Linked DNA regions of Canis lupus familiaris. The protein of the gene in region 1 interacts with the protein of each later gene in a biochemical or structural test. Links are inferred from orthologs where the notes say so. Each region holds a gene or a part of one and is shown on either strand. Other genes may lie near its edges.

Evidence for each region.
Region 2: of the proteins of DCAF1 (region 1) and UNG, one has a biochemical effect on the other in vitro, tested with the Homo sapiens proteins (2 studies listed by BioGRID, with this or other methods). The link is inferred for Canis lupus familiaris from reciprocal best matches to the Homo sapiens genes DCAF1 and UNG.

The regions. Positions count from the first base shown.
Region 1 is NC_049241.1:38,547,013-38,550,832, forward strand, and holds part of DCAF1 (DDB1- and CUL4-associated factor 1), read left to right. Parts: intron 1-1,752; coding exon 1,753-1,890; intron 1,891-3,390; coding exon 3,391-3,820. UniProt on the Homo sapiens protein: Acts both as a substrate recognition component of E3 ubiquitin-protein ligase complexes and as an atypical serine/threonine-protein kinase, playing key roles in various processes such as cell cycle, telomerase regulation and histone modification.
Region 2 is NC_049247.1:18,254,827-18,258,646, reverse strand, and holds part of UNG (uracil-DNA glycosylase), read left to right. Parts: intron 1-125; coding exon 126-304; intron 305-3,660; coding exon 3,661-3,801; 3' UTR 3,802-3,820. UniProt on the Homo sapiens protein: Uracil-DNA glycosylase that hydrolyzes the N-glycosidic bond between uracil and deoxyribose in single- and double-stranded DNA (ssDNA and dsDNA) to release a free uracil residue and form an abasic (apurinic/apyrimidinic; AP) site.

The DNA.
Region 1 (3,820 bases):
ATCTAGTGCCCTCCTCAGTGCCTGTCACTCAGTTACCGAACCCCCCCACCCACTTCCCCTTCTGAAATATTGTTTTTATACCCACCAGACTGTGGAAAATAAAAAGTGTGACAGTGGCCATGTTTTGACAAAGGTGTAGAAAAAAGAACTATTCACTGTTGTTGGAAATATGAATTGTTGCAGTCACATTGGAAGATAACTTGGCATCCTTCAGTAAAGTTGAGCGCATACATATCCTGTGATTTAGCAGTTCTGATCTTAGATTTCATCCTAGGGATATGCTTGCACAAAAATAGTTGTAGTTGCTTAAACTAACAAAATAGCAGCAAAATATGGAGGTGAAGAACATCTGGAGGTTGCTACTTGGGATCAGACACCCTTCTGCCACTCATATTTCTTAACCTTATTGTGACTCCGTTTTCTCTTCTGCAGGTACTTACCCAAACATATAGGGTTGATACGAGAAATTAATAAGTTTTTTAAAAAGATTTATTTATTTATTTATTCATGAGAGACACAGACTGAGAGAGAGAGGCAGAGACATAGGCAGAGGCAGGCTCCTCGCAGGGAGCCTGATGTGGGACTCAGTCCTGGACCCCAAGATCATGACCCAAATGAAGGCAGCTGCCCAACTGCTGAGCCACCCAGGCATCCCTAAAGATTTTTTTTTTTTGAATTTATTTATTCATGAGAAACACAGGGAGGGAGAAGCAGGCTCCATACAGGGAGCCTGATGCAGGACTCGATTCTAGGATGTCAGGATCCTGACCTGAGTGAAGGCAGATGCTCAACTGCTAAGCCACCCAGGTGCCCCGAGAAATTAATAAGTAGTTATGTCCAAAGCCTATCTTACGTTGAATGCTGTGGGTGACAGCTTCATGTAACTATAGGTGAATGTAAAAAACATGTTGAGTAATAAGTTGAAGAAAAATACAGTACCATGGGGTTTATATAATTCAAAGTATGATACATTTAACAGAAGTTTAATAGGAAAATTGTTAAAATTCCGTTACTGTAGATACCCTTTGGGGAGAGAGCATAGGAGTGGCACAAAGAGGGACATAGGGAAGGTTTTTATTAATCTCAGTGGTAGATCATGGGTGATTTTCATTTTCTTTGGATTATATATGTTTGCATGTATTATTTCATAATAAATAAGTTTGGGATATGTGGAGTTAAGTACTTCTTTGATGGATGACTTCTCATTAATATTGTTAATTGTGCATTGTGAATTTCAAAGGAGGACATAGAATTTTTAGTGCTCCGTACTTGATTATTGAACATTTTGGGTCTTAAACATCTAATGTAGGACTATATTATGTGGTTATTGACCTTTAGCTTGGATTTTAATGGCTAAATAGGAATCTATTTCACAGATGCTCAGCTATTTTTTTTTTTTAAGATTTTATTTATTTATTTGAGAGAGCAAGAGCCAGGGAGAAGGACAGAGAGAGAGAGAGAGAGAGAGAGAAACAGACTCCCTGCTGAGCAGGGAGCCGATGTGGGGCTCTGAATCCCAGGACTCTGAGATCATGACTTGAGCTGAAGGCAGACACTTAACCAACTGCCCCGATGGATAGCTATTTTAACTAAACCATTTGGAAACTTAGTTTACTTGTGCTTTTTAATCTTATAAGCAGCATTGAAGTATTTTATTAACTTTTTTTCACAAGACTGAAATCTTTGCTTATATCTTTAATTATGAAAATGATCTTTGCTGAATTGTACTATTTCATTTTCTTTACTATATAGGAAGGAATCGTTGAGAATCTTTTCAAATGGGCCCGAGAGGCTGATCAGCCATTGAGGACGTATTCTACTGGATTGTTAGGAGGTGCTATGGAGAATCAAGATATTGCTGCCAATTATAGGGATGAGAATTCACAGCTGGTAAGGATTATGTTGGAATTTCTTTCTGTATAAGATTGGAGCATATTCACAAGTTTTTTCTTGCTACCTGAACTCAGATAGTAGATCTTATTCATTACTTTGTATTGGAGTATAGCTATAATTTCGATATTGGAAGATTATTTTTCACGTTTTGATTTTACTTTTTTTAAAAAAGATTTTATTTATTTATGAGAGAGACAGAGATGTAGGCAGAGGGAGAAGCAGACTTCCTGCAGTAAGCCCGATGTGGGACTCGATCCCAGGACCCTGGGATCACAAACCCAAGCCAAAGGCAGATGCTCAACCACCAAACTACCCAAGCGTCCCTGATTTTACTTTTTTTTAACTTGAAATAGACATTTTCCATTTTGCCAAGGATCATGATAGTTTGTACTAGGTAAAGAATAGTACCATCCCCTTTCTTTTCCCAATATTTGCATTATGAAAATTTTAAGCATATAGCAAAATAGAATTTACAGATAGTAGCTATATACATCCACTTAAATTATTTGTGAATGTTTTAGTATACTTATTGTATACCCATCCACCCACCTTTCTTTCTATTCATCCACCATTTTTTGCAGATAACTTTTTTTAAAGATTTATGATTTTACAGAAAGAGAGGCAGAGACATAGGCAGATGGAGAAGCAGGCAGGGAGTCTGATGCAGGGCTCAATCCCAGGACCCAGGGTTCACAACTTGAGCCAAAGGCAGATGCTCACCCACTGAGCCACTCAGGCGCCCCTGTTTTTTTTTAAAAACTAAGCATACTACTACATTTTAGGGTTGGCTTAAAAAAATAAGTACTTTTTTTTTTTAGATTTATTTGTTTATTCATGAGAGACACACACACACACACACACACACACAGAGAGAGAGAGAGAGAGGCAGAGACATAGGCAGAGGGAGAAGCAGGGTCCCCACACGGAGCCCCATGTGGGACTCAATCCCGGATCCTCAGATCATGCCCTGAGCTGAAGGCAGACGCTCAACTGCTGAGCCACTCAGATGTCCCAAAAAATAAATACTTAAAAGAAAAAGTGAAAAAGCGGTAAACTTGAAAACTAGATCATGTAATTATGTAGATGGCAGTATCTAACAATACAATTTATAACAGGTACAAGTTTGAGAAAACCTTCATGTTTTATTTTCAAAGATACTTTTTAAAAATCATGAATATGTCTGGTGTCTTCCTCATTAGGTGTGATGGTCCAGCCCAGCTTGATCTAGGTAGATCAATTGTGAAAGATGTGTGATATGTAAATGTGGTTTAGGTTTTCTGGGACATTTTATGAGGAATGAGACTTTTAGCTATTGCTTATTTTATCAAACTATAGAAATAAAGTCAAAATATTTATTAAGTCTTTACCATTTCCAGATATTAAGATGACTGCTTGAAGATTTAGTTTTCCTTAAATGGAAATAAGAATATTTATTAAGAATCCTTTAAATTAAGATGCAGGAGAAATAAAGCTTTTTACTCCAATATCTATTGATAGGTGGCAATAGTACTTCGAAGACTGAGGGAGCTGCAGCTTCAGGAAGTGGCTTTACGGCAAGAAAACAAGCGTCCCAGCCCACGAAAGCTCTCCTCTGAACCTCTTTTACCTCTGGATGAAGAAGCTGTGGATATGGACTATGGTGACATGGCTGTAGATGTAGTGGATGGCGAACAAGAGGAAGCTTCTGGGGACATGGAGATCTCTTTTCATCTTGATTCAGGCCACAAGACCAGTAGTAGAGTGAACTCAGCAGCCAAACCTGAGGAAGGAGGATTGAGAAAAAACAAGGCAGCAAAACAGGGTGACAGAGAGAGTTTTAGGAAAGCCAAGCAGAAGTTGGGTTTCTCAACGTCTGATCCAGATCGCATGTTTGTTGAGCTGTCTAATAGCAGCTGGTCAGAAATGTCACCTTGGGTGATTGGCACCA
Region 2 (3,820 bases), on another chromosome or scaffold:
GGCATGGGAGCATGGGAGTGGTTTCGTGGGCATAGCCCCTGTTGTTGGGTGTCTGGAATCACTGGTGTATGTCTCTCTCTCTTTCTCTCTCTTTGACTAATTTTATTTCTTTGGTGTGTCCATAGGTGTTCTCTTACTCAACGCTGTCCTCACCGTCCGGGCACATCAGGCTAATTCTCATAAGGAGAGAGGATGGGAACAATTTACTGATGCGGTAGTGTCCTGGCTAAATCAGAACTCCAGTGGCCTTGTCTTCTTGCTCTGGGGCTCTTATGCTCAGAAGAAAGGCAGTGCCATCGATAGGGTATGGTTGTTTTGTTTTTTAAATACTTCAAACCTGTTTAGAAAATCTTAGGAATCCCTGCTTTGTGGTCCTGGAAAACCCATGTCACAAGGTGAAGTTTATTTTCCCTAAAGGCTTATAGTTAGGGTTAGGTTTCCCATTGAAAATTAAGCAAAATTCAGACAAATTATAGGAACAACTAACTTAGTTGTGTTTGAGGAAAGCAAAGGGCCAACTTCTGAGAGTTAGTATACAATAGGCATATACTTGCCAGATACATAGAATGATACGGGTATCATTCATTTAACAAATGATGCGGTAAGTAATGAATAAGGCAAGTACCCTACCTCCTCAACCCACCCTCCCTCTGTCTCCCCTGATATGCTCCTTCCCTGCTCCTCCGTTGACCCACATGCCTGGTGCTGAGATTAAAAACCAGAAGCCATCCTTGAATCCTCTCCTTTCTCTTCTCCCCTTAAGCCTACTCTGCCAGCAAATCCTGTCCCCTTACCTCCTGAGAACATCCCAGTCCTGCTGCTCACCGTTGAGACTGTTACTTCTCTCCAGGCTGTGACAGACTGTGGAGTTGATGGTTGGAATGGAGGACAGCGTGGTGGAGGAGGAGCAGTGGGGGAGGTGGTGGGAGGCAGGCATCAAAGACGAGCCTTGGCCTGGGCTGCTGGGGGACACAGGATTCATTGCAGTGAGTGAAGTAAAGGAGTTAAGTGAGGTTGACAGTAGCTTGTGTGTTGGCAGGAAGCAGCTGGTGTGTCAAGAATGCCCAGGTAGCCCTTTTCCTACAGAATCTCGTTTAACAATTAAAGTATCAATAAAGTTGTAGTGTGTGGCAGGGCAGAGATAAGAACCTGCTTGGGAGTGTGCAGAGCAGCAGCCTGCTCACATTGCTCACCTAAGGTCCTGCCGGGGGTGTGCCTGCAGAGCCCACCCCAGGGCCAGGAGTGTGTTCAGGTTCCATGCCTGCAACCCAGTCCCAAGTCTGTCCACTTGACCCTTATTGTCCACTTCTCCATTTTCTCTAGGATGGAATTGGTTTTTATCTTAGTGTTTTGGTTTTTTTTAAAAGATTTTATTTATTTATTCATGAGAGAGAAAGAGATGCCGAGACCCAGGCAGAGGGAGAAGCAGGCTGCATGCAGGGAGCCTGACGCAGGACTCGATCCCGGGTCTCCAGGATCATGCCCTGGGCTGAAGGCGGCGCTGAACTGAGCCACCCGGGCTGCCCTTGTTTGTTTGTTTTTAAGGTAGTGGGTTCACATAATTAAATAAAATAGGATATTAGGGTACACGGTGAGAAGTTTCCCAGCCAGTCCTGTCTGTTTAGTGGTTTCCCAGGCTCAGGGAGGCACCGGCTTTTGGTTTCTGACATGTCCTCCCCATGTCTTTATGTGAACGGCAGTAGAGTGTGTGAATCAGGGGAGGCAGCTGCTCTCTCTACAAAGTTTCTGTGTGAACGAACAAGGTGTTTTCAGGTGTTTTGAGGAAGGGAATGGTAGAAGTAAAATCTGGCGGGAATGAACTAACTGCTAAGATCTGATCATCTAGGTAAGATGTCCGTGGAAGTGATTCCCTTCTGTGTGCTTTTGGGAGATTGATACTCCGTGTGTGTGTGTGTGTGTGTGTGTGTGTGTGTGATTTTTATTACTGAAAATGGTTTGGTTTGATTGGAAGCAGTTGTAAAAGTAGCTTGGTGATTAGAAGCCAGGTAGCTTTCCTGAGCATTAGGTCTGTATTCAGCTGTCTCTTTATCCACGGCCCCTCAGCACACCTGATTCCACGTTTTCCAAGGTAGGTTCTCCTTTGCTCATCCAGCCTTGCCAATCTGGCTCCTGTAGACTCCCCCAGGATAGAAAGTACAACCGTGCATTTGTCCACTCAGAAATCAGATAGCATTTGTGACAACCTTCCTCCCTCCCACCCCTCTTTTTCCCTTCCTCTCTGCTCACCACCTGTCTGCCCTATCTATCCCATACCCAGTCAGGCATTCATAGCCTCAGACTCCTCATCTGGCTGCCTTGGCCTCGATTCAGGCCCTCATCTGACCTTGGTCCCCCTGAAGGCCCTGCCTTGGGAAGGTGGGCTGGGGTCTGGAGCACTAGCAGGGCCCTGGTCTGCTTTCTTAGCCACAGCTCCTCTCTTCCCTACATCCCACTTCCCTGCCTGCCTCTGAACATCCTGGCTCCCCTCTCCAGAGGCCAATTAAACTCCTCCTTCAAAGCTCAGCACAGCTCACATTTCAGCAAACCCCTCCCCCCCCCCCAGGTGCACGGCAGGTGGCATGCTAGTAAGCACTTGACCCCTGTTACTTCTCACAACACACATGGGCATTGTTCACTCCTGCACAGTGTCTCCATAAGTAAGGCTCTCTTCTACCCCCTTCACAGCAGCAGAAGGAAGTGCAGCCGCAGGAGGCGGCAGAGGCAGAACTGGAACCCAGGCCTCTGGGAGCTGGACTCCAGGCTCCTCAGCATGTCAGGCTGCCTGGCTTCCATTATGGCCCCTTCCTGGACTTAGCTATTTGAAGGCAGAGAGATGTTGTGAAAACAATTAGTTGTGAGATGGTTTTTATTTAAATACAGAAGAGAAGAAAGAAGAAAACAAACATCGTCCACAGTCTTCTTGCTCCACAAAGTATGGCCGACATTCAAAAAATCAAAGTGTTGTTTTTCTTGACAATTCAGGCTGATGCACAGTAATGCAAAGCTAGAAGTAAAATGCCTTCCACTATTTCTTTTCCCTAATGGAACTGCTATAAATAGCATATTGGATATTAAGAAAAAAACAAATATGCAATTACCTATTTTCTTTTTCATCTAGTTGATATATTTAGGTCTTCCCTTACTAGCATATGTAGCTCAGCCTTACTCTTCTAGTAGCCTTGTGGTGGTCCATTATAAGAAGTTCAGAAAAATGTTTTTAGCTAGTGGCATAACACTGGATTTATTTTTATTTTTATTATTTTTTTTAAGATTTCATCCACTTATTCATGAGAGACACAGAGAGAGGCAGAGATACAGGCAGAGGGAGAAGAAGGCTCCATGCAGGAAGCCCAGTATTGGACTTTATCCTGGGACCCTTGGGATCACGCCCTGAGCCAAAGGCAGACGCTCAACCGCTGAGCCACCCAGGCGTCCCAGCACTGGATTTATATTAGGTTTTACCTGGTATAAGCCATGCTGCCGTGGGCCTCCTTAAACCTATGTTTTCGTAGAGGTGTACGCATCATGGGGCCCTTTAGCAACTGTATTCCTTAGCAACACGACTGCTGGATCACAAGATCAGGGCACTGGGCAGTTGCAGAGATGGTGGCTTCAGAGCCAAATGTGCCACTCGTGATTCCTTCTCTCCTTGTCTTTCAGAAACGTCACCATGTGCTGCAGACTGCGCACCCCTCCCCGTTGTCGGTCTACAGAGGGTTCTTTGGGTGTAGACATTTCTCTAAAACCAATGAGCTGCTGCAGAAGTCTGGCAAGGAGCCCATCAACTGGAAGGATCTGTGACCCTGAACTGGGGGGCGAG